Linked DNA regions of Elephas maximus indicus. The protein of the gene in region 3 interacts with the protein of the main gene of each other region in a pairwise test. Links are inferred from orthologs where the notes say so. Each region holds a gene or a part of one and is shown on either strand. Other genes may lie near its edges.

Region 1 (7,278 bases), on a different chromosome or scaffold from region 3:
TGGCTGATTTTTTGGAAGTAACCAGGGCTTTCTTGCAAGGCACCTCTGGGTGGACTCAAACTTCAGCCTTCCAGTTGACGGCCAAGCACGTTGCCCGTTTGCACCACCCAGGGACTTGGCTTGTTTATCTCCCAAGTGTAGCCTCTTTTATATCCATTCCTCTCACTGTGATGTCTCCTACATAGTGTCCCACCAATAGATGGTGTTTTAAATGTTCCCAAATCCCAAGGGAGTTCATGGGGGGCTTGCTGTGTACTGTGGGGCAGTATTTGAAGTGTGTCCTGTTTACCTGGAAAGTGGATTCTAACCTCAGGCAGGCTGGACAGGACCCTCCTGCCTCACTCCTCTCCTGTGGCCCCGTCAGCTGGTTGGGTTGTGTCCTCTAGCATCTCCTAGCTTCCCAGACCATTCCCACCTCCCCCAAGACCCCTTAGGTTTGGTCCCCGGGGCCCAGCCTCCCTGCCAGCCCCCAGTGAAGGGGGAGGGAGGTGTCCCCAAGCCTGCATCCTTGCAGCCTCAGAGGATGGGCAGAAGTGGGGCCTAATGGGGCTGAGGTGGGACGGGTTCCTGATGCTTCCCCCCAGAACAGAAGGCCTGAGCCTGGGACCTCACTCAGCAGACAGGAAACCCAGTGAGGTAGACAGGTCACCCCAGGATCCACTCTAAGGTCCAGCCCGAAGCTTCCCGCACAGGTGGGCTGCGTGGGCTCCGCCTCATCCCACTCACCCTTTCAGAATTTGAGACCCTTCAACCCACCGGGTCATCTCTTCACAGAGTCTCAGCCCAGCCGGGTTGGGGTTGTCCATACGTTGCTCCCCTACACACTCAGATTGTGTCATTTCAGGAGGAGGACAAAGGAGTCAGGGAGCCCTGGAACAAGGAGTGGAGCCTAAGGGAAGGGGAGGAAGGCCATGAGGGGAAGTGGGGGTGTGGAGGGGAGCGTGAAGGAGAGAACCTGACCTGCAGCAGGAGGGAGAAGCAAGACCCACCCCCTCCCCAGTGATGATGGGGGCACACAGCTGTGGGCTGAAGTGAGAAGGGCAGGGTGGGCAGTGGTACAGCCAGTCAATGTGGAGAAGGGGTTGTAGAGTGAGGTGTCCAGGGGGCACCTGGATGGATGGAGGACAGGCCCCTGGGAAGAAAAGGTTTGAGTGGGAAGTCTGACTTTAGAAGTGTTGTATATTAGGGGTGGGAGTTGCTTCCAAATCATGAACACAATTTGAGAAGGTGTCTGTGGAGCCAGGGGGAGTAGAGCGGGGATTAGTTAGGGAGGCCTGAAGCCCAGGGCTCACCCCTCCCCAGTGCAGGCATCATCACACATTGCGAGTGGGAGGCTGGGCTCAGCCGTCACCCTGCTGAAACATGGCTCCGGCAGGCTCTGTGGAGCCCACACCAGTGTGCAGGTGTGGGGTTCAGGAGATGGGTCTGGGCTGAAGCCACCAGGTCTGAGCTGCTATCCGGGCAAGGAGGTCTGCGTCTGTGGAGCAAAGGCTCCAGCCTATGTTTGTTTTTTTAATTTTCCAGCCTACATTTAATCATTTGGAGGAATGGTGGGCAAAGGGGCCTAGAGCAGTAGAACACTGGTGCAAGGGGGCCCAGGAGCTGGGCAGGGGAGGGCCCGGTCAGTCCACGACACTGCTGGGAGGCCAAGTAAGCAAACAGGCCTTGGCCATCAGCTCGTGGGGAGAAGGGAACACCCAGGGTATGTGTGGAGGCAAGGGGGGACTGTGATGAGGAGTGCTGATGGGGTGACAGGAGACCACCCTGATGGTAAGAGATTGTGGGGAGCTCAGTCAGGAGAGGCCCCCAGACCCCGCTGAGTAGACCTGAGGGTACCTGCAGACTGAGGTGGGACCCTTGAGCAAATTTCTTCCCTCTGTTCAGGGCAGGTGGCCAGTTTAGGCAAATGAAGGTGTTTGCCAGAGAGCAAGGAGGGGCTAGGACCTCAGGTGCACAGGTAGGAAGGTGGAAGCAGGAGCAGTGTCAGAGGAGCACCAGAACCCCACACCCCCCCTCACGGGCATCACTTGGTAGAGCTGGCTCTACAGGCACGGGGGCCAAGGGGCCAAGAAACGCTGGCCCTTAGAGAAATGAACGTTGACCGAGTTTCAGAAAGTGTGGTATGTGCTGTTTTCATGTAATAAGTGCTTTTGAACATGGCAAAAATGTTCAACAAGTGTTCCTTTTTACCTGTGCTTCTCTAGCCTGTTCAGTGCACATTGAGCAATTATTGCGGGGAGGGGGGCTGCTACCCTCAGAGCCTCTCAGACCTCCCTCCCAGAGGCAGGTCCAAGCCTTCCCCAGCGCACCCCTGCAGAAGCAGTGACCAAAGGCTGGGCGGCCAAGGCCCCTGAGGAAGGCCCAAATGGGGGGCCTGACCAGGGCGACCAGCGGGCTCCCAGACCTCGTTTTTTTCCCTCTCCCCTGTAGCCCGACAGGCTCCGGGGGTGGAGGTTGAGGGTGTATGGCCAGGGGAGTACCGAGGGCCTTTGCTATCCACCAGGTGAGTGGGTGTGGAGGACACACTGCTTACGTCCGCTGGTGGGGGGAGGGGGGAGGAGCAGCAGTACGAGCGCCCCAGGACTCCGTGCGCCCTGAGGTGCACCCAGGGCCGCTCCCGGCGGGCTCCCGAGGCATTGCCTCGCCGTGGCCATCGTCGGGGAGCAACAGATGCGATCCAGCAGGGGTCACGGGATAGAGGTCCAGGGAAGGCAACCCCCACCCCCACCCCCGGCACAGGTTGGGGGCGGGAAGCCGGCAGGAAGGAGCAGAGAGAAGCTAGTGATGGGGGAATAGCGGGGAGAGCGAGGCAATGGGCGCCCACCGCGCTGGACCCCGCTGGCTGCGTTGTCGCCTCTCTCGGGCGGCGGCGATTTTGCCGTCCGCTTTCCCCAGGCCAGCGCGGCGCCCGGAACGTGGACGCAGGAGAGTTCGGAGTGAAGCAGTCGCCGGGGGCGGGCTGGGATGGGGGAGGCCTACGTGGCCTGTCTCCCACAAGGAGTGTCGGCTAGCACAGCAAGGCGGGGACACGCGGGGCGGCCTGCTACCTGGGGAGCGGCCGCGTGGCTAAAGCAGAGGTCGGGACCGCGGCAGAGCGCGGTGGCCCGGCGCCCCCTTACCCCGGGGAGCCGTCCGCACCGGGGCCAGTAACCCGCCCTCCCTGCTGCGCAGGCGTGGCAGATCCGAAGGCGGCGCCACTAGCACCGAGTTAGCCCCTGCGGTGGGGCCAGGCCTATGGCCCGGGCTAGGGCGGCGCGAGTCGGCGCCGAGGGAGGGCCAGCCGGAGCCACAGGGGTCCTTCCCTCCCCAGCCAGACAGCCGGCGAGCGGACACAGAGCCGTGCTTGCCTTCTCCTCGGTCAGCGGGGCACCTCTTCCAAACTGAAACCTCTGTCATCTCCCCCCAGCCGCCCTGCAGTCCCAGCTGGGGAGGGGGGCTGGAGAAGCAGAACTTCCTGCCCCCACCGCTTAGCGCCGCTCGGGGCAAGCGGGGGCTGGGCGGCCCTATAGGAGGCAGCCACTCCTCCCCTTCCTCACGGCTAGGGCAGATGAAAGGATGTAACAGGTCCCCAAACCCTCAGCGGGCTGGGCAGCAGCCCCGCCCTCCCCCAGACATCTTGGAGCCGAGGGAGGTGTGAATGGCCTCCTTTGTGCTTCTCAATGAAGGCAATTAGGTACTCCTTATCTGGGGGATTTGCAGCCTCCTAAGCAAACCGACCCTTCTCCCCCCCACCACCCCCCCACCCTCGTTTATAAACTCAGCCCGGCCCTCCTCAGCCCCAGGCAGATCCTGTGCTGGGCCTGGCCAACGTGTCCAATCCTCTTCCATTTTCTGTGTGGCCCCCCGGCCCCATCTGCCCACAGTGGATCCTGTGCCCAGCCCGGCTCACCGGTCCAGCTCCACTCTCATCCTCTGCGTGGCCCCCCGGCCCTGGGGGATCTTCTTTGTCTGGCCCTCTGTGAGTGTTCTGCGTGGTCCCCTGGCCTTCGGGGGATCCTCTGAGTAGCCCCGTCACTTATCCAGTCCTCGGCAAATCCTCCGCCTGACCGGCCATGCCTCCCTCCTCCGACCTGCACCAGGGCCACAAACCACACTCCAGTTTCTTCTCCGTGGACTGGCTAGCCCAGAGCAGCCACTCGGGGCCAATATGCACGTCCAGGCCCAGCGAGGTCTCTTGGAGGGGCTTAACTGCCCCCGTCTGGGTGCCCAGCAGAGGGGAGCCCCCTCAGAACATGGCCATCGATGGGGCTAAGACCCCAGATCTGCGTGTGCGAGGGACACCTGTGGCTGGTAGGTCTTGAAGGGGAAAGTCCTTCCCAGATCGGAGTGGGCGTTGGGGAGGTTCTTGCAAGGCAAGGAACACACGAACACACCCTGTCCACTCGGTGGTTTTTACAGGGCAGTGATGATGTCCCCTTGTGAGTGAGTGAGTGAGCGAGCAAGTGAGCGAGCGAGCGCTTCCCCTCAGAGGGAAGCCACCTGCAGGCACCTCTATGGTACCAGCCCTGCAAGCCCTGCCCTGCCTCGGCCCTCTGCCAGCCACAGCATCTTCCCAGTTCCCAGCTACGTCCAGCCCAGGCCTGCTGCCCGAGGGCACTCCAGTAACTTGTCCTCGTGAAATTACCCCACCCCACACCCAGAGGGCAGCTTGTCTCCCAGCTATGCCTGTCACGCACGGTGGCTCTGGTGTCTTTGTGCATGTGGTCCTCAAGCTCTACACTGAGCCCTTGAGACCCGGGTCACTGGGAAAGACCGTTGCTTCTAAAGCTGTGAGACTGGCCAATGCAGAGAGGTCATCGTTGACCCCCAAAATGAAGGGGGTCTTCACTTGGCTCCAAACTTGAGCCCGTTCTCAGCAGACCTGGAATCTTGGCATTTTAAGAATGCTCCATGGGTGTGATTGAAGTGGCCGCTGGGGCTGGGCTGCAGACCAAGAGGCCACCTTTGCATTTCTGTGCCTGGGAGTCTCGCCTGGGGGCCTGGCCAGCGGCTCCATAATCCTTATCTAACCCTTTGTCATGTGCTGACAAGATTTTTTGCTGTTTGTTTTCTAGTCCATTGTAATTTAATCCATTGTTTTTAGGTTTAAAGTCCTACTTGGTCAACAATGAGATTGGTATCTATGATTTTTAATTTTTTTTTAAAGTTTGAGTGATTCGTTTGGAATAATTTCATACTTGGGTGAAGTGAAATATTTATTGCAAAGACCCACAGCAGGTCCAGGTTAATGGGTGTCTGCCTTGGCTCCCGACTAAATCCAAATGTGAACAAGTCGATGAGAAAGGTTGACCTCCCCTTGGCTCTCTGGGTGCCCCAGGCTTTTGTACGTAGTGGACCCTCCCCGGAAAGTCCCTCTTGCTCTGCCCCATCTGTCCTCATCTGGTGAATTGGCTGCAGGGAAAAGAAATTGCTTTCTGGAGGGATGTGAGTGAGGGTGGCTCTAGGTTGGGGCACTGGCTGGTGGAATCTGCACCAGGACTGCCCCTCTCAGCCCAAACCACTCTAACCTTTGTCTCCTTCCTCCAATACACATGTCCTGCTCTGGACCCCCTCCACCCTTGAGCTGGGAGACTGAGCAGGATATTGGAATGGTGGAGTAAGGAGAGAAACTGGAGCTGCCCCTGCTTCAGGGACACAGGGGCTGCCCATCCACCTTTGGCCGCTGCGTCTGCTGCCTAAGTAACCCCGAAGCTCAGGGCAACTTTCACATAGCGGGGAGCATGTCCCAGGTGGGTAGACTCTCACCCATCTTCCCGTTCCAGGGCTGAACAAGGAGCCAGACCCTTTGCGGGCTCCCCGGGTGCGTACGGCCTTCACTACAGCTCAGATCAGCACCCTGGAGAGCGCCTTCAAGCTTCACCAGTACCTGGGCCCCCAGGAGCGGAAGAAGCTGGCCAAAGAGATGCACCTGACTGAGGTGCAGGTGAGTAGGCCATGGGGGGGGGGAGGGGAGGCTGGGTGAACGGGGGCGGTCTGTTCTCACCCCTGCCTGGTTTGTTTCCCACAGATAAAAACTTGGTTTCAGAATCGTAGAATGAAACACAAACGCCAGTTGCAGGACTCACAGCTCAGTGTCCCCTTCTCTGGACCCCTCTACGGGCCCCTGGCCATCCATCCACCGTCTCCTGTCCTGGGTAGTGGCTTGCAGCTGTTTTACCGTGGGGCACCCCTGCCTGCCGCCCCAGCTGTTTTGCTGCCTCTGGGCTCCTTCTGGGGTCCCTGCCCAGTAGAGCAGGTCTTGATGGCCTCTGCATGGAATCCCTGCAGCAGGCAATCTCAGACACACTACCTCCCAGAGCCTGGGGGCCAGGCGCGCTTGTTGGCGCAGGCCTCATCCAGGGGCTCCTGGGGCCTGTGTGATCTACCTGAAACCGAGGGTGCCTTTTGAGGAGGCTGGCAGCCCCGAAAGTGGATGCTTCGCCCATCCCCAGGAGGTGTGTGCAAGGTCTGCCATTGCCCTGAACAGACACTAACTGTCCTTTTCATCACAGCCGCCTCCCACATGGCGGGCCTTGTGTGTGTACGATGATTCATGGTGAGTCCCTACCCTGACCACCTTAAGACTCCAGAGTTTTACAGCTGGAGACATTTTAATGCCACCCCTTCGCTGAAAACTACCGAAAGGGTCAGCATAGGGGGTAACTGATGGGTCAGGGAGCAGAATCAAAGGCCAAAATGGATGTGTTACGCATGGGGTTTTAGCATATGGTAAATGGATAATTTATTCAATAAAAGGTGTTGGAAAAAACTGGTTTTCCTGTTGGAAAAAAAGAAAGGAGGGTCCTCATTCTGCGTGCGGATCAGCTTGGTCTGCAGAGACGAAGTCCGTGAACCGTGAGAAGCAAGTGAGGCTCTACATTTACAGCTTTGAGGTTTGGGTGCCTTTGTAATGGAGCCACCACAGCTGGAAACCAGAAGGGAAATAATGACCCTTTGTCCAGTATAAAGTTGAAGCACAAGGTGGGAGTAGCATCTGCTGCTCCCGGAAGAGGCCTGTGAGTGCCAGGAACTGCCCGGGGAGCTGGATCTGAGTCCAAGTCGTCTGAGCTCCGGTGTGTCTCCACCTGAGTGTTTCTTTCCTGCAGGGTGGATCCTGTTCAGCTTTCAAGGAAGCTGAGTACCATCTGTCACCGACTACATGTCCCAGCAAGAATAAAGGCATGATCCTTTTTTAAAGTTTATCTGCAGAAATACATACATCAGACTGTCATCAGTCTTGGGATTGTTAAGACTTCTCATTGTTCATTTCTGTCTTGTTCAAAGTGTTTATAATGAGCG
Region 2 (8,061 bases), on a different chromosome or scaffold from region 3:
TAATATGGTTATACCCTCCTGGTTTATTGTCCCTTTAATCATTATATAGTGTCCTTCTTTATCCTTTGTAGCGTATTTAACTTTAAAGTCTATTTTGTCAGAAATTAGTCACTCCTGGTCTTTTTTGATTGTTGTTTGCTTGATTTTTTTTTCATCCTTTGAGTTTTAGTTTGTTTGTGTCTTTAAGTCTAAGGTGTGTCTCTTGTAGGCAGCATATAGACGGATTGTGTTTTTTATCCATTCTGCAACTCTCCATCTCTTTATTGGTACATTTAGTTCATTTACATTCAACTAATTATGGATAGGTATGAGTTTAGTTCTGTCATTTTGATGTCTTTTTGTGTGTGTTGTTGACAGCTTCTTTTTTCACTTTTTTTGTGCCGAGTAGTTTTTCTTTATATATTGTCTTTTCCCCCTTTTCTTTGTTGTTGATTTTTTTTTTTTTTTTTGCTGAGTCTTTATGTTTTTCTTGTATTTTATTTTGATGTGTAAGATTGTTAGTGTCCTTTGTGGTTACCTTAATATTTACGCCTATTTTTCCAAGTTTAAACCTAACTTTTATTTCTTTATATCACCTTGACCTCCTCTCCATAGGAAAGATCTATGACTACATTTCTTTGTCCCTCTTTATTGATTTAATGTTTTCCATAATGACATCGCTGTTTCCCTGCTTTGAGCATTTTTTTATCTTGATATATTTTTGTGATTTCCCTGTCTGGGTTGATATCTAGTTGTTCTGTCCTGTGTTCTAGTCTTGGGTTGATATTATTGTCTAACCAGAGAATTCCCTTTAGTGTTGTAGTTTTGGTTTGGTTTTCACAAATTCCCTAAATTTCTGTTTATCTGGAAATGTCCTAATTTTGTCTTTTATCTGACAGTTTTACTGGATAGATATATGATTCTTGGCAAGCATTTTTTTCCTCCAGTGCTTTATGTAAGTCGTCCCATTGCCTTCTTGCCTACATGGTTTCTACCGAGTAGTCCAAGCTTATTTTTACTGACTCTCCTTTGTAGGTGACTTTTCGTTTATCCTGAGCTGCTCTTAAAATTTTCCCTTTATCTTTGGTTTTGGGAAGTTTGATTATAATACGTTTTGTTGACTTTCTTTTGAGGTCTACCTTACGTGGCGTTCTACGAACATCTTGGATAGATACTTGTTTCTCTCTTATTATACCAGGGAAGTTTTCTGCCAACGAATCTTCAACAATTCGCTCCGTATTTTCTGTTCTCCCTCCCTTTCTGGTACTCCAATCTCTCCTAGGTTATTTCTCTTGATAGACTCCCACATGGCAAAGTGGTTTCAAACATCAAAAAACTGCCTCTACCACACAGCTGGAACAGCTGAAGTCAGATCTCAAGCCCGTATACCGTTAAGAGTCTGCCATCAATGGCCTCAGCTTCTGAAATGGGCCCACACAGATCCATGCAGGGGTGAAAGGTATTCAAAGTCTGCAGACTGTTTGTGCCGGGACAGGAGCCGCTTCTGTCCTGAGCTCCCCAGCTTAGGGGAGCTGGCAGATTATCTTTTCCCCCAATTGTTAATTTATTCCTTCTCCAAGGCCAGGAGAATGGCTTAGGATGTGCAGCAGGACCTATCTCAGGCCCAGGGAAATTGACAGCCACTGAAGCCTGCTTGGGGGTCAGGGACATGGTAAAATCGACATAAGTACTTACATTTTGCCGTGAGCGCTGTTCTCCTCCGATTCTGGAGGGGTGAGTAGAGTGTGCGGCTCATTGTTTCTCCGTGAGGAAACCGCATCCTGAACGCTACCGCCAGCCCCGCTGCCGTCACGCCAGGGGATTGTGCCTGAGGGGCGCTGGTTCCTGCGGAGTCAGGTCCGGAAACTCCTCGTGGCTTCTGAACTATCTCTCCCTCCCCTTGCCACTCAGTCTGATTTCCTAGCCTTGCCTTTGATGTTCAGGGCTCCTAGCTTGTTATATATATATAATTGTTTCACTTGTTTTTTCAGGTCTTTGTTGTAAGAGGGATCACCAGAAGCATCTGACTATGCCGCCATCTTGGCCCCGCCTCCTGTAATAGTGGTGCAGCAGTTAAGCACTTGGCTGCTGAAAGGCTGGTGCTTCGAACCTACCCAGCTACCCAATTACTCCATGGGAGAAAGGCCTGGAGATCTGCTACCATAAAGATTACAGACTAGAAAACCCTATGGGGCAGTTCTTCTCTTTCACAAGGGGTCACTGTGAGTTGAAATCAGTCTGATGACACATAACAAGAACATTCTCATAGCTCAGTGAAACTGTTTTGATTTCAGGGGATGCTACTTTCCCATCTGCTCTGGGAAATAATCATTAGGTAAATTTTCCTCTCGTCATCATTACCACCCCTTGGGAAAGAGACATTCTATCCCCACTCCCCAGAGTGGACTGTTGTAGCTGGAATCTCTGGGGAGCCAAGAGGTCTGAAAGCCAGTCCAGGGCCCTTCCTGCTGGCTGTACAGTGGGCTGGGGGCTTGTTGTTAGCTTCTGGGTCCATCTCACACTACCTGGAGAGACCTACTCCCAAGCCTGGCTGGGGTTTGAACAAGCATCCCCATGAGCTCCACAGGCAAAAGGAGAGCTTTAGACTACAGGGTCGGGGGGAATGTTCAAGCTCTCAGAATAGCTCAGCTTTTGAACAATGTGTGGTTCATTTGATTCGTTCATTCAGTATACATGCCTAAAGCACCTATTATGTGCCAGGCTCCAGTTTACATAAGACTGGTGGTTAACACACTGAGAGAATTCCAAGTTGTTCAAGATGGTGGGAGAGTAGGGTGAGGTGGGAGGTGAATGGGAGCCAAGCTCCAGCGTGTCCTAGAGGCCTTACTTGGAATTTAGAGCAGGAAGTCTGACACATGAATGCCAGTCCTGGTGCATGCCAGATGAAATATCCAAGGTAGGCTCGATCAGAAACAGCAGCCCCAGACTTGCCAAGGATTGGATGCAGACGAACATGGCGATGAAATGCTGCAGGCACAGATCCTTAGGCTCCTGGCCAACACCATAGCTGGCCATGCTCAATGGAGTAACATGTGACCAGGCCTTTGTTGGAAGCTCAGGGCTCCTTTGCTTTCTAAGCATGGGAAAGCTGGAGCTCTGGGCCAAGCACAGGTTAAGAAAAATATTGAGAAAAAAGAGAAACTACATAAAGATGCCTAGCCCCAAACCTTTCCCCACCTGTACCATGGCCCTCAAATTCCTCCAGGGATCCCTAGCCACAAAAATACTAGAAAAAGCTGGCTCAGAAAATTCTTGAAAATTTACCAATTGGCTCTCACAAGCCACCATGAGCTGGGTCCAGCCCAGAAAACCTTTATAACTCACAGGATGCTGGGGAGAGAGAAGAGACCATTTGAGGGACATAGTTCTATGGTTGTGTCCCCTCAGCCTTCCCACAGAGTGAGCTTTATATGTGCCACAATGACAGGTTCTGCTGATTGGTTCAATCCGCAACTATTCCTGACTCCTCACTTGGCTCTCCTGCAATGTAGACATGATATTCATTCATTTATTCAATAATTAGCTATCTCTGCTAGTCCTGGAGGCAGAATGGTGAAAATTACAGAGCTCCTACTTCCTCAAAAACTCACAGTAAGGAAAGAAAATGCCTAGTTATAACAGGGCTGACAAAAGCACTGCATTAGAGGTGCAGGGGAAACACTGCAAGGTCAGGGATGGGGAACCACTGACCATGCAGTGCCAGGGGGGCTGAGGAATGCCCCACTGAGGAAGTGACATTAATTCTGGGTTTTGATGGCTGAATTGGGGCTCACCAAGCCAGACGGTGAAAATGTATAGGCAAAGTCGTAGCAGAAAAGAAGGGTTGGGCATGCTCTAGCCATAAGGAGAAGGTCAAGGGACAGGAGCCCAGCAAGACATAGAAGCCCCCTAATGCTAACATCCTATTCACTCTAAGCCAGACCTGGCCCAATTGTGAAATCCAGCTCCGCTAGATGGTAGGGAAGAAAAAGGGGTGAGGGTCAGAGTCAGGGCTGAAGAGTTGCACAGCTCCTTCTACTGAAGAACACCAACTCCTTGACATCTGTCATGGATTGAATTGTGGTATTTCTGTTATAGCAGCACCAGATGACTACGACAACAGCCAATAACGCTCATGTCCTCATGCTACCCTATAGATAACTTCCCTGGTAACTTTTCCTTGTGTGCAGACTTCCAGGGGACCCTCAGAAAGCTGATTATGAAGTTAAACTTATCTGCAGCAAACACCAAGAGGGTTACCAAGCCAAGCTCAGGGCATAGAAACCAGCATGGGCTGACTGCCCTGGCCACAGAGCCTGTAGCCCTGATATCCTGCTAGACTCGCAGACTCTGGAGAAGGAGACCCCTGGGGACATCATGGGCATGGTAAGCAGCAGCTTCTTGGAAGCTGGACTGAGGGGCCCCTTTTTGCCCCAGATTCATAAACCAGCCAATGGACAGAAGGATTATGTGATCACTATGACAACAGAGGAGTCCTTGGGTGGCACAAACAGTTAAGTACGTCATTACTAGCTGAAGGGTTGGCAGTTCAAACCCACGGAGTCATCTTGGAAGATAGGTCTGCAGATCTGCTTCTGAAAGGTCACAGCCCTGAAAACTCTGCAGTAATTCCCCTCTGCGCACACAGGGTCGTCATGGGTCAGAATTGACTCAATGGCAACTAACAACAAGTGACAATAGTACAGTTCTTGTGCGCAGCAAAAGGTTAACGCACTCCGCTGCTAACTGAAAGGTTGGAGGTTCAAGTTCAACCCAGAGGCACCTCAGAAGAAAGGCCTGGTGATCTACTTCTGAAAAATAAGCCATTGAAAACCCTACGGAGCACAGTTCTACTGACACAGTTGGGGTCGCCAGGAGTCAGAATCGACTCCAAAGCAGCTGGTAATGGTATGACATTAAAGCAGACATCAGATTGCTTTGTTCTGTTTGATGCTACCCAGAATCTTTCCTAATTAAACCCAGTTTCAGTTGGGGAAATTACACGTTTGTTCCCACTACTGGGACTCTCCAAAGCAACTCAGTCCCTGTCTTTTTCAAGCTTAGTTCTCCAGTCCTCCCATTGACACCATCATCTAGATTTTCCTCTCCTGGCCCTCCGGTATCATTTCTAATTAATTCTTCTTGGCTTAAGCTGGCAAGAGCCGGCCTTCGTTGTTTGCATCCACAGAACGCTAACTGCTATAGATGCAATCAACACATGGCGGCTCTAAGCTCTCTTCCATTTCCACCTCCTGGTCTTCAATGCGGAAGAACAGCCGCAGCCTGCCAGGCAACCCCCTTGGACCTGCTGCCCTGGATGGCCTGCCAGAACTCCTGCTGTACCTGCCGGCCCCCTGCAGCAGTTTGCTTATTAACAGAGCCCACACTGCTTTCTTGTGCCACCAGTTCTGACTTGGTGGACAGTGTAATGAGTCTGCACCCTAATTCGGGGCAGCTTTCTTTCCTTGCTGGTAGGCACACTAATGTTTCTCCCCAATCCTCAAGCATTAGGACTCTTTAGGCACCTGGGCACAGAAGCTCTGGCAGGCATGGAGTGATAAAAGCTGGAGCAACAAACACCCTGACAGGTAGGTGGGGGCTGAGCCTAACCCCTGCCCCTGCTCCCACATCTGGGCTGCAGCCACCTCTTCACCAAGCCCTGCCCCCAAAGTGAGTCTCCTAACTCCACTTGCCAAAAGTATTCGTTCTTGACTAGCCTTGCACATTAATCCACTTGCTTCTCCTCTGCTTGCCTGTTAAATATTTGTTAGCTGGGTGCTTGTGCCACATAGGTGGAACTGACTTGAGGTGCGCGTAGTGTGGAAGAGAAGACCTAAAAAATCACAGGTGAGGGAAGTGCACGAGTGACAGGGCACTGAGGAGGAGAAGAAAAGAGGAGCAGGTGGGTGAAGAGGAGGAAAAGTAGAAGAAAGAGGAGGAAGATGAGGGAAGAGGAAGACTAGGAGGAAAGCAGCGGGAGGACGAAGAGGAGGAAACATATGCCAGCTCTACCCTTCAGGCCCCTTCCATGGGACCCTTGGGCCTCTGTTTCCTTTGTCATACCATACTGTGTGCTGCCAGGAAGATCAGAGTCACTCCTAACATCTTTGCCACACAATTCTTCAAAGGGGCTGTCACCGGTATCAGAGGTAACAATGTTAACCTATGCTTCCTGCAGAGGTCAAGGCAGCAACAAAGGTCACTGAGTTCCTCGGAGCAAACCATTTGTCCTCAGTCTACCATCTGTCAAACAGGGGTTGGGTTAAATCACTGCTGGTGTCCTGAGCTACCGGTGTATGATTTCACTGGGAAGGATTCAACTCTGCCCCTGCTGTCCTTCTGGCCTCACTGGCCTCCTGTGTCACCCTCTCCAGATTACCCCATGGGCTGCCATCAAAGCAGCTCAGGCAGCCTTTACCCACCACTGCTGCACAGGCCACTGACACCAGAACTGTCCAGGGGCACCAGAGCCAGAGATGAGGTAGCCCTCTTCTCTGAACTAAAAACTGGGGCATGTGGTCTACAGTAGGATGGAATGCTTACTATCAGGGTGTTTCAAAATATTAAAATAAAGTCTCTGTTCACTGAACACTCCCTGCATGCCAGATGCTTGATACACCTAATTTCATTTAATTGTCACAACTACATGAAGTAAGTTGCCTGTCTCAACCCAAGTGCATTTATTTGATGTTGATCCTGGGAAACTCAACTTCATGTGCACCCTCAACGGGCAAACAGTACTGCATTTATCTCTAACCCATCAAATGCCATCTTGCCAAACTCACCATAGCACTCTGGTTTTCTGAGACCATTATGGGTCTAGATCGTGCCAACTTCAGATACCCCATTCAGCTTCATAAAATGTTGTAATCTAGTCAATACTCCATAAAGGTTGTCATCCAAATCATAATAAGAATAATAATGAGAAGGAGGAAAAGGAGAACACAAAGGTATTGAACTGGCCAGGGACCTCTGGCACATCACCAGGTCTGAGGGTCATCACTATCATTCATCAGCACTACTTGAGGTAAGGCAAGTGCCTAGTGAGCCCCTGCCAGCTCCTCTCCTAAGGATGTACAGACCTTGTGTAAGGACGTACAGACCTTCCCTTTATCTAACATCTTGCCCAGTGTCAACCTCAGACTTCAGCCTGTGAGCTTCTTTCTTTGAAAATAAGGCCCCATCCATCTCCAAGCTTCATTCCCCTCTCCTGAGCTCTCAGCTGACACTGCAGATATGTGACCTCAATTTTGGGGCCACTCCATGCCCTGGCAAGTGACTTCTTGGGTCAGGAAAGGTGATCACATACACAGCAGCTCTGCTCCTCCTTTCCTACGTGGACCCACCAGGCTGTTTTCATCTGGAGGACAGTTCTCTGCCAGATGTTCCACAGGCCACAGACCTGCTCCTTCCTTCTTCTCACTACAAAGGCACCAGCTGGCCTAAGCAATGGATGGGACTATGCATTCTTTGCCCTCCTCGCTTTGAATATAGCATTAAAGATCTTGTTCTCCTCTACTCTCCTCAATAGTCTCAGTTCACTACATCAGCCTGAGACCAGAAGAACTAGATGGTGCCTGGCTACAACCAATGACTGCCCTGACAGGGAACACGACAGAGAATCTCTGATGGAGCAGGAGAACAGTGGGATGCAGACTTCAAATTCTTGTAAAAAGGCCAGACTTAATGGCCTGACTGAGACTAGACGGACCCCAGAGTTCATGGTCCCCGCGCTTTCTGTTAGCCCAAGACAGGAACCATTCCCAAAGACAACTCTTCAGACAGGGATTGGATTGAACTATAGGATAGAAAATGATACTGGTGAGGAGTGAGCTTTTCGGATCAAGTAGACACCTGAGACTACGTGGGCAGCTCCTGTCTGGAGGGGAGATGAGAAGGCAGAGGGGGACAGAAGCTGGCTGAATGGACATGGAGAATACAGGGTGGAGAGAAGGAGTGTGCTGTCTCATTAGGGGGAGAGCAACTAGGAGTATATAGCAAAGTGTATATAAATTTTTGTATGAGAGACTGACTTGATTTGTAAACTTTTACTTAAAGCACACACACACAAAAAAAGTCTCA
Region 3 (8,051 bases):
CTCACTTTTCCATGTCAGTTCAACAGCCATGAGAAACTACAACAAAACACATTTTTCCTCTCTTGTCGCTGTGCGTCATATATACATTTTATATGTGTGTGTTCTGTTTACTAGAGTCCTTTGCCAAGGCTTTTAAATGTGTTTGAGAAAGAACTGCTGATCCAGTGGGTGGGCAGGGAGAGAGTCCTGTGTGTGGTGGTTTTGTATCATGTCAAGACATTAATGGAACTCACCAAATACCATTTATTTTACTTGTGGCTTTCACGGTTAGGGGAGAAAAGGGGGTTAGGAGTCTTCGAAAAACAAACAAAACCCAAAACTGGAAACTGGAGCAAAATTTCCTGGATTATTCAGGGCCACTATTTTCTTTTCCTGAATTCCTAACACAGACCCGGTCTTCACGGTGTGTGTTTTATACACCCCATCTCTTGTACAACCGGAGTTCTGAAATCTTCCTGAGGCTCCCCACCTATTTTTAAAATAACAAAAGTTTTGATAAACATAGTGACACTTTCTTAGAGCCACATGTCATTCCTACCTGAAGAGGAACACAGACAGGGCAACTGGGCAGGTAGGAGGCGGTCACTGTCCCGAGCTTGCCTGTGGTTGTATTGGTGTGCAATTTCACACACATTAATGGTAAGGCTCTCAGGAACAAGGCAGCCTAACCTCAGTCCTGGCAGCAGTTGAGACAGGTCCAGCAGAAAAATGTGACTTTTCTCTACTTAATTTCATTAAGTGGGTCATGTTTTTGGAACACTCAAACTTCTTTTGCTGCCTACCAAAAGCAAAAAATAATCTTTGGTGTGCCTGATCAACTTTTTCCCAATTACAAGTTTTCACAACTGGATGATGAGAGAAAGATGGTTTCGTAGTATCTGTTTTTACCCCTAGAAGTAAAGAGATTGCCCATGTAAGTGAAACAAATATCTAACGAAAGCAATGATTGTCTTGGTGTGTTAAGCGGATTAAACACATTGCATTCCTTAAAAATACAAACTTGCCATCATTTTTTAAATTTTACTTAAGTGATAGGGAAATAAATAGCAAAGCAACCAGTAAAAAAAAAAAAAAAAAAGTGGAACTTGCGATTCAAATTTCCAGCTCTTTGAAAAAGTAAAGAAATATCAGTAGTATTACTTCGCTTGTAATAAAACATGCGAAGAAAACTTTTCAAAATAATACTTCATCATAAAATAGATAATTTCCTCAAGTGAAAAGGCAATTTTCATCTCACCACAATTCACCTAGGTTGCACTATCATACAAACGTTAAAGAGGAGAATCCTACATTTATTTTCCATCATTTTACATTGTCTTAGTTCTCTATCTTCCACGTTGAAGTGGTTCCCATATAACAGACAGACAATATCCAGCTGGCTTGTGTGTATTAATGAATTCCCCCACGTTTGGTTTCACTATCTGAATTTGTTTGCACACACAGTATTACAATAATAATCTCAGTTTCTGAATCACTCTGAATTGGCTTACCACTGTATTCACCTTATACATTAGGATGCAAGACCTAACAATGGTATCTAGGTCAGATCTAGACACATACTTTCTAGCATTTGCACAAACTCTTAAAATGTTTAAGAATTCAGGCGATTGAGATCTTAAAAAGTAAGAGAAAAATACTATTCTTTGCATCCTAGATTCTGTACCTGCCTGAACGGAGCTATTTAATAGGGTACCACAAATATCCTATATACAAAATCCTGAAAAGTTTGAGTCCCTCCCTACATTTACTGAGCTTTGTTGTTTCCACCAAAGGAACGCTTCGCAGCCGCAAAGTTCTACCGTTACTACCGACAAATCACTTAAAATTTATGTTCAGAAATAGCCTCAAGGGTCATTTGGTGAACTGTTAGGTTTTTAACCCTTTTATTCGTCTTCCCACATCTCCATCGTCCCTAAATTTGCAAAAGCTAACTGCCCAGGTTCGGGGTCTTTGACTCATCAAAGAATGAGGCTAATGAGTTATCTATTCAACCAAAATGCCTCCGCTTGAAAGATTTTTCACCAAGAACTTTTAACACCGAAAGGGAGGGGGGCGGGGGACAGAAGGTATCTTTTAACGAGAACTTGTCCCCGCCTTTCTTACAACACCCACACACTATAACTTCCAATCTCAAACGCAGAACTAAACCCTGACCCTGCGGGTCCTAATAATCTGAGGTCACCCAGGAGTCACCTCTCAATTCCTCTTTTAAAATCCCAAGCAAACAAAGCTGATCATTATACTTAGAGAAGTCTCCGAGAAGTCCTCAAAGTTACGCAATTTTAGGCACGCAGACGCGCGTGGACACACAAAAACACACTCCAAAGATACACCCTCCCGGGGCCAAATTGTGGGGTTGTGTCTTGGGGCAAGGACAATATTTCAAACCTCCAGGGGCACCCAGCCCGTCGCCCCGGGACAAGCGCCCGCGCCCCGCCGGCTTCTCCCTCCCGGCACTTTGGAGAAAGCCAGCGGCTCGCGCCCCCGGTCGCACCCACCACCGCTCCGGGCCACTCGGTACCTCTTCCTCCTGAAGGTTGGCCTCGCTCGGGGTGTTCTCCTTCTCGGCTTTGCTGCCGTTGTTCATCTTCCCGGTCCTTTCTTCCCGGGCGGGGCTGGGGCGCGGGGCTGGGCGAGGGCGCGCTCGCCCACTCTTCCCTTCCCGGGGCACCGGGGCTCCCTCGGGTGGGGCGCCGCCGGCTGCGGAGGCTGGAGCTGGGGCAGCGGCTGCGCGGGCTCCCGCGGCGCGGCGAGGCTGCGGCGGCCGGCGACTCAGGAAGTGCGAGGGAGAGACCGGGCAGGGCGAGGGCAAGGGCGGACTGAGAAGGGAACGGAGACAATCGGGACCCGGGAGTGAGACCTGGAGGGCGGGCCGGCGGGCGCGAGGGAAGGAAGGAGGAAAGCCTGGGGCTGGAGTTGGGGCCGGGGCCGCGCTGCCGAGCCTGCGGGCGCTGGAGCGGGGAGCGCGAGGGGCGCCCGAGAGGAGCAGCTGGTGCGGGCGCCGGGCGCGGGCTCGGGGCGGCTGGGGCGCAGGGGCCGGAGAGCCGCCGAGTGCGCGCTGCTGGCTGGCTCTGGGCGGACGCGATCGGAGCAGCCTCCTTTCTCTCGCCTTCCTCCCTCCCCTCTGCCCTCCTCTCCCCTCCTCCTCCCTCCGCCCTCCCAGGACGTGGGCTGCGGGCTTCAGCCCTGAGGGACGGGACCGGGACGACGGAGCCCCCCGCGGGAGGAGGGGCTGCACCGAGGGCGGCTGCCGGGCGGCCGGATGGCGCGCGCCGGGGAGGGGCGGCGTGCGGCGGGCGGGAGCGGCCGACCCCAGCCCGCGACTTCGCGGTAGGTCCGAGGGCGAAGGCACCGGAGGGGGGGAAGGTCAGCGCCGCGGGCTCACGGGCTCCGCTGCGCCCCACGGCCGAGCGGGGTCCGAGTTGCGAACTCGCGTGTCCGTGCGCGTGAGCTTGGAGAGGGGCTTCGGGGAAACAGGCCCTGCCAGTGCGGAGAGCGGGAACTGGGGTGTGCTACTTTAGCTTGCTGGCTTTCCGCGAGGGATTTGCACCCCTGTCCCTGAGTCTACCCTCTTTTACTACTCGTTTAGGCACAGTTCTTCCCTTCAGCCAGCAGTTTGAAATGACGGCCTGAAGGAACTGGAGAGACACCCTGGGGCAGCCTGCTCCCAACCGGCTTTTTAAAGCGCAGTTTCAAGCCCACCACGAACGTCCGGTCCACCGAAGCCTCTCCAGCCTCCTTGCACGGGCTGCTGCTCTCTGGGCTCCTCATAGCTCTTGTTCAGACCTCCCACAGCCCTTATCAGGCTCTTTGGAATTATTTGTTTACCTGGCTGTTTTCCTCACTCTTCCCGGAGTTTCTTCCAAGAAGACAAAGACCGTGCCCTGTTTATCTTTTTAATCCCACGGCTATTTAAATACACTACCTGGTATATAGTAGGCACTTAATAAATATTTGTTGGCCAAGTGAACATTCCTCAGTCTAAGCAGAACTTGAGGTCAGTAGAGCTGATCTTCAGATGGCTCGAAGCATGCAGAAGAAAAAAAAAAACCCTTCACTGTACACCAACCTTGGAAGGACTGCATGGCTTCTGTTTCAGTCTCCGTAAAGTAGAAATAGCTATGCTTATCTCCCAGGGTCATGCGAATTGAAGAAGATTATAGATTGATAGAGAGGCCCGTGGGTGGCACAAAAGGTTAGCGCTGGGCTACTAGCCATCTGTGGTTGGAACCTACCCAGAGGCTCCAAGGAAGACTGGCCTGGCAATCTGCTTCCAAAAGGTCACACCCTTGAAAACCCTGTAGAGCAGTTGTTCTCTGACACACATGGAGTCGCCATGAATCAGAACCAACAGTAACAAGATAGATTGATAAAAATGTAGCACCCAACAGCCATTCTTGCTCAGCCGAAGTTCACAATATATGGAAGCCAACATGATTATTAAGAAAAGTTCCATTTCTGCTGGGCCTTGGAGGGATTCTCCAATACTGGCTCCTTTAAGCTTTCCAACTTGACTGCTGCAAACATAAGTTTAAAACTCCACATCGGTACGTTCCCCCCGCTTGCCACTGCTAGGAATTCTCTTTCACATGATGCTGTTCTTTCACAGCAGAAATCACAATTTCTAATCACTTATTTTTTGTTTATTTGCTTTTGTAACGTTATCTCTTTCTCCCCCACTGGACATTCTGGACCCTAGTATACTGGTTTACGTGCTGTTGCAAGTGTGGTAGGGCTTGCAGATGAGGCCTCTGCCTTTGGGAAGTTTAAAGTGGTGTTGTGGAGACAAGATACCCAAAACAACGCCACAGCAACGTAATTGCAGAATTCTGGTTTAAATTGTCAAAAGCAGTTTAATTGTCTAAATGTAGAAAATACTTGCTTCAAGCATACCATGAAGAGAAAAGCAGTAGTGATACTTGGACTTACATATTGGGTTTTACTTGGTGATCTGAAGATTTTGATAAGGATAAGGTCTTCTGTAAGAAAAAAAATGTTTTTCTTTAATTGCTGTCGTAATATCATTTCTCTATGGTAACAAAAGTGAATCCTGGATGAAACTAAACCAAGAGTTTATTGAAACTACAATTAAAGAAGCTGAGAAGGACAAGGGTTATTTTGTTCCTAAAACTTGGTAACTCACTTGTCCTTGTTTTGATTATTCATTTGTCTTAATTGGGAGCTCTTTCCACTGCCAGCTTCTCCCTCAGTTATAAAGGTTAGAGGTGACCACAAGGGGGCAATGTCTTCCTGAGCAATGATTGTGTGGTGGTCTTGGGCCCCAGAGATGGTCAATAATGGCAGAACTTTGTCCTCCTTGGCTATTCCTGCCTGTTACTGAGGACACTCCACAGAAGGGGATTGTCTTGTTGGAGCCTGGCAAACGCTCAAGAAAAGTGACAGTTGATGTAGTCATTGATGGTTCCAGTCAGACCCCACTGATGAGTAGGTGGAATACGTTGTGTGAGTTCAGGATGCTGGGAAAACCTCACGTCCTCCTACACAGGGAAATGTAGCTTCATTCTCAGAGTAGAACCTGATTCTTTTGTCTTTCAGCCAAGCCAGGACTTTGTCTACTGTTAAAAGTCAAAAACCTCCGGGATAAAAAACAAGAATAGGTTTCATGAGAGGATCTTTGTCTAGATTGTTCAATGTTGCATTCCCAATATCTAGACAGTGCCAAACACGTTGTCCAAAAACAACCAAGCCTGTTGCCGTAGAGTCGATTCCAACTCATAGAGATCCTATAGGACGGAGTAGAACTGCTCCATAGGGTTTACAAGGTTGTAATCTCTACATCTCCACATTTTCTCTCGCAGGGCTTCTGGTGGGTTCGAACTGCCAACCTTTTGCTTAGCAGCTGAGAGCTTAACCGTAGCAACACCAGGACTCCTGAACACATAGTAAGCACTCAATAGTTAATTTTTAATGAATTAACACATTAAGTCATCAGTTATTGATTCTCTAGTCTGAATGAATTAGATCCTTCCAAGATCCGGCAGGAAGGACCAAATTAGTGGGGACATCTGAGATTGGAGAGCCCCCATAACGTCATGGCAGTGATTTCTACTCATTATTTTGTTCCAAGGGGCAGACTCTAGATAGAGACCTTGTACACAGTGGGGCACCTAACGAGATTTCAAGAAAGAAAAAATAAAATCACGGCACTATATTGATACATTCTGACACACACCTCAGTGTTGTATCCTCTCACCGTATTTATTCAGTCTGTATGCTGAGCAGATAATTCAAGAAGCCGGATTGTGTGAAGAAGAACGGGGCATCAGGATTGGAGGAAGACTAATTAACAACCTGCAATACACACAGATGATGCAACCTTGCTTGCTTAAAGTGAAGAGGACTTGAAGCACTTACTGATGAAGATCAAAGCCCACAGCCTTCAGTATGGATTACACCTCAACATAAAGAAAACAAGAATCCTCACAACTGGCCCAATGAGCAACATCATGATAAACGGAGAAAAGATTGAAGTTGTCAAGGATTTTGTTTTACTTGGATTCACCATCAACGCCCATGGAAGCAGCAGTCAAGAAATCAACAAGGTATTTCATTGGGCAAATCTGTTGTAAAAGACCTTTTAAAGTGTTAAAAAGCACAGATGTCCCTTTGAGATGCCACTAAGGTGTGCTTGACCCAAGCCATAGTATTTTCGATCTCATATGCTTGCAAAGTCTGGACAATAGAATGGCCCCGGACCGGACAGTGTTCCATTCTGTTGTACGTAGCGTCGCCATGAGTCGGAACCAACTCAATGGCACCTAACAACAACAACAATTGATACACCAGGTTACCCACTGCCATGGATTAGATCTTGACTCATAGCGACCCTAAAGGACAGGGTAGAACTGCCCATAGAGTTTCCAAGAGTGTAAATATTTAAGAAAGCAGACTGCCACATCTTTCTCCTGGGGTGTGGCTGGTGGTTTCAAACCACTGTCATTTTTATTAGCAGCCGAGCAATCCATTGCCCCACCGGGGTTCCTTCTGATACATCAGGTAGTTTGCAATCAAGCAGGGAGACCTAGAATATTACCGTCAATGATGAGAGTGAAATTGAAGATGTTTTCGGAAGAGCACGTACGGATGGAATTATATGCCAGGAAAAGAGGGATTCCGGTTTTTTATCCTTTCCATAAAGCATGGTTTAGACTTATTTAGAAGAATGATAGAGTAACGTATTACCAAACAAAACCCAATGAGAATCTGTAAACAGACTCTTGCTATTTATAAAACTTTGGGAGTGAGGGGAAAGAGTTTGACAGCGTGGAGGAAAATGTCAGGATATAAATGGTCTTTATGACCTGTTCACTACTTCAAAGAAGAAAAGTTTCAAACATGAGATCGCCTCAGTAGCAATAGTTTCCAGACACATAAATATAATTATAAGACAACGAAGGGATTTTATATCCTGGAAAAATTGGGCTAATGACCAAGTAACATCTGCTTCTTCCCCTGCCCACCACCCTACCGCACAGCTGTCTGGCCTACAAAGCGACATGCTAGATTGAAAGGGAAATACTGTACACACCTGTATTTTTTATTACTCATCTCTGTTTCTCTGGCAGTGTTCATTTGGAGGCTTGCTTTAAGAAATGCAAACCTGTAATTATGTCTTACGTGTTTGTCTCTGAGAATTGCAGACATTAAAGGTCTATTCCGAGGCTATTTGTGCGGCATGGGTTTTTGTACCTGTGTTAGCTCTGAGGTAGAAGGCTGCGTATCTACCACATGTGTTGTGATTGTTAACTTCTGTATCCTATGCTGTACCAAAAAGGTCCTGAGGCCAGAGGATGTGCTTTGCTGATTTTTGCCATCCTCACACCTCTCCCTCCCTCACACCACTCACCTCCAGGCCATCACTGTCTCCCCCTGATCTTACCTCCCAAGTAGTTCTCAGATCCAATCACTTCCCTCTAATCATTTGAGGAAACTCTAGCAGCCACATGGAGACGCCCACATGGAGGAGAATCAAGGTCCCTGGCTTACAGCCCCAGCTGAGCTCTCAGTGGACAGCCAGCACCAATTTGCTG
Region 4 (7,557 bases), on a different chromosome or scaffold from region 3:
TTATCTGTAGAAAAGGATTTCAGTTAAAAATGTTGTTGTTGTTGGGTACCATGAGTCGATTCTGACTCACAGCGACCCCATGTGACAGAGTAGAACGATCCCATACGGTTTTCTTGGCTGTAATCTTTACAGAAGTAATCTTTTTCAGAGGAGGCAGGGTTCAAAGGCCAACTCTTCAGTTAGCAGCCAAGTGCTTAACCCTTGCACCACCAGGGATCCTGATTTAAAAATGGGGGGAGGATAATTGAAATAAGAACAGCACCAATTTGATAATAATTGAAACTCAGTGACAGATATGTGGACATTCACTATACTATTCTATTTTTATGTGTTTGAAAATTTACATAATGAAAAATATAAAAATGGAGAGTTTAATAATAGTACCTACCTCACAATAATTGTGGATGTAAAGCAATTATCATCATTATATTAGGAATTCACAAAACCTAATTATTACCACCAAAAAATCAAACCCACTGCCGTTGAGTCAACTCCAACTCATATTTTTAAATATCCCACTTAATCAACCCAAAAAAACCCTATGAAATGCATAATCATCATCTTGATTTGGCAGATGAGGAAACCAAGATTTCGTGAACTTAAGAAGTCAGGAATCCTGCAGTCACCCCTGGGCTGCAATGTTATCTGAAACCAGAGTTATCTGACTCCACCTTCACCCTGCCTTTATTTCAGTAATAGCTCTTTTTGTTCTACTTGGCTGAGATCTTTACGATTATGATATCATTCATTCATCTAAGCCAGTGGTTTCCTAACTCATTCCTCAGCAGCAGAACCCCTTTTTCCAAGGCAGCCTTACTCAGAACACCAGTAAGGAAAACAGATAAAAGCAGAACAGCTCTGTCGAAGTGAGGTCTGGGACCCAGAAATCAGGCACTTGGCTCCAAGGTGGCCCTGAAGCACTGTAGGGTCTATGGAACATACTTTGAAAACCCCAGATTGAAGCCAACAACAGTAACAACCCAAATCGTAAGAGTCACATAGTAAAAACAGCCTTCATTTGTATAATGCATCTTTTGTTTTCCTGTAGCCCATCACATTTGATACTCATTATCACCTCTGAGGTGGACAAGGCAAGGCACATCATCGTCAATTTGCAGATGAGAAAATCAAAGCCAAATGAAGTTAAGCAACTGGCCAAAAGTGCACCAGTTCCATTGTCGGCCAACTACAGACTGGAACTAGAGTCTGTCTCCATTAACTCCATGTGACCTGGCAGAAAGGGTGCCATCTACTGGAAATTGCTACTGACTCTCGGCCATCAGGAGCTGAGCAGAGCCCCATAAGCCCCTCTGCCAAGGCCCTGTCCCTGAGCAGATGGTTATGGCAGGGGCAAGGGGCTCAGTATCACTGGAGGACCAATCCCATCAGAGCCATGTCGTGTTGAGCACATGGCTGGGGAGACAGTAATAGCCACAGTGTCCTTCACCCTCATCTGCCACAAGTAGGTAAATGCAGCAGGCAGGGCAGATCTGTGTAGCAGTTACACTTTGCCTTTCTTCTAGCTCTTGCTTGGAAATCCCTGAATCCAGAGGCAGTGATAATTGCCTGAATGGCTCCCCAACTCCACAGCATCTCTGAACCGAGCCGGAGCATGTGTTGGGATCGGTAGCACTTAATTATCACTTAGTCTTTATTAGCACTTAATTATTAACACATAATCCATCTGTAAAATGGGGACACTAATATCTGCCTCATAGAGACTCTGGGAGGATTAGTTAACGTTTGCAGTCCACTTTGAAGATGCAAAACATTGAAGAAGTGCTCAACGGTGGCATAAATAACCACACTGGATTTATGTTCTTTTTCTAATGAGGTCCCTTCTTCCTCTCTGCTCCTCCCTCTCCTTTTGATTTTCCATCCCCAACAATATCTGCCCAACTTTGCTCTGTTAGAGAAACTCTGAGCTCCATATTTCCCAGTCATAGGATTCCCTATCTAGGAAATGGGCTATTTACAGCCATCTTTCCACACTTTAATTTTCTATTATGTCCTCTGAATATGTCAATGCCTTCCCAGTAAATATTTTGATGTGAGTTTTTGCAGCGGCTTCTGTGGAGGCTGAATGGGACAGCTGCTCCCTGTATTAGGGAATTCCAGATGTGATTTAAAATTACCAGACTCATCTGTGTGAATGCCCAGCCTTTGAGGGATGGGAAGAAGGAAGGATCTTCTGGTTGACTCTGGGGAAAGCCATGGGCTTCAAAAGAGATAGCCACCTAACCCTCGGCCTTGGCTAGGATGGCTTTTCAAGGACCTCAGACACAAATCTGGTTTAGGTCTGCCTTTAGAATGAAAACATATTCTCTTAGTGGACTGGTGAAGAGGCAGCCTGGAATACAGCCCTGGCCTGATCCTTCATCCACAGCCATGATCAGCTTTTCTCTCTAAAGCATGGACGAAGACCATGGTTGGGGAGGAGAAGTATATAGCTTTAGGATGTAACCTGACTTAACAATGGGCCAGAACATTCCCCCAGCAGGTCAGGTCTCATCTCCTCCCTCTTCCCTTGGTACCATCCAAGCAGGGAGACACTTACTGTTCTTGGAAGCCAAGTCCATTGTTTCTCGAAGTCCCAGGCGTGGGGGCAGAGAGCTGCTCCGTCCAGGTCCTGGGCTGCATGGCCTCAGGCAGGCCCTGAACCCTCTTCCAGATTTCATGGCAGGTCTTGTCTAGGCTGTCTTGGGGTGTGTCATGGTGGATCCAGATGTATCTGGGGAATGGGCCCAGGGCGGAGGGAGGCTTGGCCACCAGGGCCGAGGACGAAGGGAGTCCATTCCCACTGGCCATGCTCCTCCTCTCTCTCTGGAAGCCCCTTTGTCCACCCAGAGCTCGAAGACTGGGGGACCATCCACCACTACCCCTCATTCACCAGGAAGGGAGATGAGGATGGGGCCTGGCAGAGGCAGGTCAGTTCTGTCTGGTTGTTGCTCCAGCAAGGTGACTATGTTCAGAGGCCCTCGATTTGGGTGTGAGTGGTGGTGAGTGAAGAGCTTTCTTTTGGGGAGGGGGAGCTTTGTGTGATTTGTTTTTATTTGCTCTTTCCTGACTTTTGCCCCCCTCCCCCTCTCTCTTAGAAGAAAATACTTAAAAGTCAACAAAAACCAGTAGCTTAGTAACCGTGGAATCCCCGGCAGCTCAGGAAGCAGGCGCCTGGGCGGGCAGAATGACATCTGGGAACAGCTGGAGGGGGAAGGCTGGCTCTCCCCCACAGTCCCTGACACTCCCCCCTTGCGACACACCCCTGGCACCTTGCGGCTGCTGGGGCTCAGCCCATTCTCTCCCACTAAGCCAGCGGATGACCTGTTAAGAGCCTGGCACCGTGTTAGGCACGGTGGGGGCAGGAGGCCACCATTAGAGTCTCAGCTCCGCCTTCCCAGGGACCCCCGCGCAGCCTGAGGGCCAACGGCCCCTGCCTTCCCTCCCCCCGCTGTGTCCCCTCTTGCTCGCCCCACTAGCCCCCGCCTGTACCCTTCTCCAGGGGTTGTTCTGCCGCCCTCTAGAAAGAAAACTTCAGCGGGTAAGTCTGGGGCGCGCTCTGCGGCCTTCCGCAGCCCGCCCCCAGCACCTCCAGCAGACACCTGCCACGTCCTCCGAACCGGGACGCGGGGATGGGCACCAGGAAGGGTCCCTACGCCTTAAAAGGGTGCTGTTTCCGTCGGGAAGGCGGGGCGAGGCGGCTTTGGCCTGTTTGCGTGCCAGTGGCTCTCACGACCTTGCCATCGAGCGGTGGAATTCTTTTTGTGGGTTTCAAATGCAACGGCTGGGTGCGCGGGGCGCCCCAGGTTCGGTGCCCAAGGCCCTCTGCCGCCGCGGGCTGGGGGCGGGTGAGGCGGCGCCCCGGTGGGGAAGCTTTCCCCCATTAGAAGTTCACCAGAGGAGACAGGCTGCGGCCTCGGTCAGCTACCAAACACAAACGTCGCGCCAGCCAGGGGGCCTGCCCCTTTGTCAGCCAGATTTTACCGCTAACTGCCGTTTCAGTCAGGCGCTTGCCGTGTGCCAAGCTCTGAGCTTTCTGCGTTCTCATACTTGATCCTTACAAGCTCCCGCAGTTACTATCGTTTATTATCGGTCTGCATATACAGAAACGGAGGCTCAATCACAAAGGGATATGTCTATGACCAGCTAAGAAATGGGGAGCTGGGATTCAAACTTGGGCACTCTAGGCCTGAGCCACTGAGATAGACAGCTCTTTCCTGTGCTTCATTGAACTCAGAACTGAATCAGCAAACTCGGACAGGGGCTCTCTAGCCTCAGGACTCAGTGGTTGTTCCTCCAGAGTTTCCCCAGAGAAGGAGGAGCAAGAGGTGAAGAAAGGAGAATGGATGCAAATAGGCCAGCTGGCAGCCTAAGGAGGTAGGGCTGGGTTGAATCCTGAACTGTCACTTCCAAGCCCTGTGTCCCTGAACAGCTTTCTTGACTTCTCTCATCCTCATTCATTCATCCATTTCCCAAATATTGGCTGAACGCTTCCTCCATGCCTTGCTGGGAATTGAGGAAACATGAGAATAAACAAAAAGCATGGTCCCTGCTCTTATGCAGCCTATAATCTAATGGAGGGAGATAGACCACAGACTAGCCAAGCAAGTAAATAAACATTAATTATAGATTCCTGGTGATTCAGTGGTTAAGTGTTGGGCTGCTAAGGGGAAAGGTCTGTGGTTTGAACCCATGAGCTACTCTAGGAGAGAGATGTGGCAGTCTGCTTTTGTAAAGATTACAACCTTGGAAACCCTATGGGGCAGTTCTACTCTGTCCTATAGTGTCGCTCTGACTTGAATGCGACTTGATGGCAATGGGGTACAGATCCCTGCATGGCACAAAGGGTTCAAAGCTTGGCTACTGGGTGGCACAGGCAGTTTGCACTTAACCGCTCACCTAAGAGTTGGAGGTTCCAACCCGCTCAGTGGCTCCATGGAAGACAGGCTTGGAGATCTGCTTTCATAAAGATTATAGCCAAGAAAACTCCATGAAGGAATTCTACTTTCTAACACATGGGGTCCCCATGAATTCGGGGCTGACTATAGCAGCTAACAACAACAACAACAACTAACCCTAAGACAATTCGAATGCATCCGGAGGTGCTTCTAAAGGCCTGATACTTCTGAAATGCAGTGTTGTTCCACTTTGAAACACATGTGGTCACCGAAAGTTGGAATCTACTTGAAGGCAACTGGTTTGGTTTATTTATTTATTTATGTTTAAGAGATGAAATAAGGGGCACGTAGTGGTTAAAAAAAAAATTTTTTTTTTTTTTTTTTTTTTTTTTAGTGGTTAAGTGCTACAGCTGCTAACCAAAGGGTCGGCAGTTCAAATCCGCCAGGTGCTCCTTGGAAGCTCTATGGGGCAGTTCTACTCTGTCCTGTGGGGTCGCTATGAGTCGGAATCGACTCGACGGCACTGGGTTTGGTTTTTGGTTTGGTGATGGAAACCAACAAGTGAGGCATGAGGAGGGGAAGGGGAGAGGGAGAGAAAGAGGGAAAAGGGCAACATTAGATGATGGTCCAGGCAGGCTTCTCTGAGAAAACAGAAGCATGAGAGTCCTTTTTCTGTTAAAATGGTGTTCATTATCATGGGAATAAAATTTCTGGCACACAGTAGGTACTCAATAAATATGTGTTGAATGAATTAATGGTATACTGTATGTAACGTGCCTGGCATACAGTAGGTGCCCAATACACGACCGTGCTCTTTACAGAGGAGCTGAGTTCCTAGAAATGTTGACTCTAAATTTTGAAATCCGAGTTTCATTCCCCTTTGATTTTCATTATAAAGTTGAAGATGTGTTCCTTTGGGGAAAATTCTGAGGACCTAGACTGAATAAAATTATAGTTAAGAATGTAGAAAACCTTTTAAGATAGTGTATTTAAAGGAAAAGTGATCATTTCTGATGAAATATTAATAGTTCTGAAAATGTCACTCAGTGTTTGTGCTGCTTGGCATTTGGTTGGCTAACACCCTATGCTTAGAGCAGAACGCCAACAATCCTGCGCTGCCCAGACCACAGATTCTGGAAAGTTAGCCAGCTTACTCACTCCTCCTGTTCTCTCTCCTCTTCAGCAGGAGACTGGGCAACAGGGTCTAAATCAGAAAGGATTAGGAAAAAAAAAAAAATACAGTAGGGACTGTGAATGAAGGTTTGCTTCTTGGAATATACAGCTGAGGTTTCTAGAAGATTCTGCAAAGACCTCAAGTAATGTACTTAGAGAAAGTATACGCTGCATTTTCCAATATGATAGCCACTAGCCACATATCTGTTTTAAATTTAATTAAATATATTTAAATAGAGTTAAAAATTCACTTCCTCAGTGGCACAGGCCACATTTCAAGTACTCAATAGCCATGTGTGGCTAGAGACTATACCATAGTGAACAGTGCAGAAGATATTTCCACTATTGCAAAAACAGATTCTTAAGCCGGACTGCCTGAGTTCAAATTCTGAGTTCAAATTTTCTGGCAATGTCAACTTAGACAAGTTACCTAACCTTTATGTGCCTTCATTTTCTCATCTGTAAAATAGGGATGATAATAAAGAACACCCACCTCATAGAATTGTTGTACCTGTGTAGATGTTCTATTATCAAGTAATTACTAAACACATGGAAAGTCCCAGGAACAACACCTAGCCCATAAAAGTGTTGTAGTTTGCTTGCTGATTACATTGAAATGCGTATCTCCAAATCACAGGCCTTCATGTTATGTGTGAGGAGGGAGAACTTCACTTGTACTTTTAGGCGTACTGGGGAAATTGCTCTGTGTTGGAGGAATGGAATCAAAGCATCACCTGAGCCTCCCAAGGATCTGTTCCTTTTGAGTATTCATTTTCTGCAGCTTCTGTTAACAAACTACCACAGACTTGGTGGCATAAAACAAGAGGAATTTATTTTCTCACAGTTTTGGAGGCCAGAAGTCCAAAATCGAGGTGTTGGCAGGGCCATGTTCCCTTCAGAAGCTCTATAGAAGAATCCTTTCTTGCCTGTTCCAGCTTCTGGTGGCTCCAGGCATTCCTGGGTTGTGGCTGCGTAAGCCCAATCTCTGCCTTCATCCCTTCTGTGTCCCAAATCTCCCTCTGCTTTTCTTTTGTAAGGACACTTGATTTAGACCCCATGAAGATGATTCTGGATGATCTTGTCTCAAGATCCTTAACTTAATCACATCTACAAAGACCTTTTTTTTTTTTTTTCCTCCTAAATAAGGCCACATTCACAGATTTTAGGGATTAGGATGTGGGCATATCTTTTTCAGCAGATGGCACCTTTCAGTTCACTGTGAACACCTACTGTGTGTGGGTCAAGACTGTGCAAGGTACAGGAGTTAGAGATGAGTAAGACCTCTACTCTAGACAAAGTCACAGTCTAATTAGGAAGGAAAAACATTCCATAAGTGCCTGATTGTAAAAACGGGCTAGTAGTAGTAATAGTAACACCATCACCTATCTAAATTCAGGGGAGACAATGTGAATCACCATCAGCAAAAAGCTGATCCCTGTGAGGTAGAAGTCAGACATACCTCCTATCTCCAACCTTTTAACCAATTCTG

The links.
Region 1: the proteins of RBPMS (region 3) and VENTX interact in binary tests that used the Homo sapiens proteins (3 or more experiments, as listed by UniProt). The two-hybrid records come from large-scale screens. The link is inferred for Elephas maximus indicus from reciprocal best matches to the Homo sapiens genes RBPMS and VENTX.
Region 2: the proteins of RBPMS (region 3) and ZNF488 interact in binary tests that used the Homo sapiens proteins (3 or more experiments, as listed by UniProt). The two-hybrid records come from large-scale screens. The link is inferred for Elephas maximus indicus from reciprocal best matches to the Homo sapiens genes RBPMS and ZNF488.
Region 4: the proteins of RBPMS (region 3) and C3H1orf94 interact in binary tests that used the Homo sapiens proteins (3 or more experiments, as listed by UniProt). The two-hybrid records come from large-scale screens. The link is inferred for Elephas maximus indicus from reciprocal best matches to the Homo sapiens genes RBPMS and C1orf94.

Annotation. Positions count from the first base shown.
Region 1 is NC_064834.1:82,821,340-82,828,617, forward strand, and holds VENTX (homeobox protein VENTX), read left to right. Parts: upstream 1-4,052; coding exon 4,053-4,290; intron 4,291-5,762; coding exon 5,763-5,923; intron 5,924-6,007; coding exon 6,008-6,388; downstream 6,389-7,278. UniProt on the Homo sapiens protein: May be involved in ventralization.
Region 2 is NC_064834.1:304,337-312,397, reverse strand, and holds the start of ZNF488 (zinc finger protein 488), read right to left. Parts: upstream 3,016-8,061; coding exon 2,828-3,015; intron 1,825-2,827; coding exon 1,675-1,824; intron 1-1,674. UniProt on the Homo sapiens protein: Transcriptional repressor. Plays a role in oligodendrocyte differentiation, together with OLIG2. Mediates Notch signaling-activated formation of oligodendrocyte precursors.
Region 3 is NC_064840.1:69,843,335-69,851,385, forward strand, and holds the start of RBPMS (RNA-binding protein with multiple splicing), read right to left. Parts: upstream 3,127-8,051; 5' UTR 2,588-3,126; coding exon 2,522-2,587; exon of another isoform or gene 2,196-2,521; intron 1-2,195.
Region 4 is NC_064821.1:75,208,447-75,216,003, reverse strand, and holds the start of C3H1orf94 (uncharacterized protein C1orf94 homolog), read right to left. Parts: upstream 3,397-7,557; 5' UTR 2,887-3,396; coding exon 2,558-2,886; intron 1-2,557.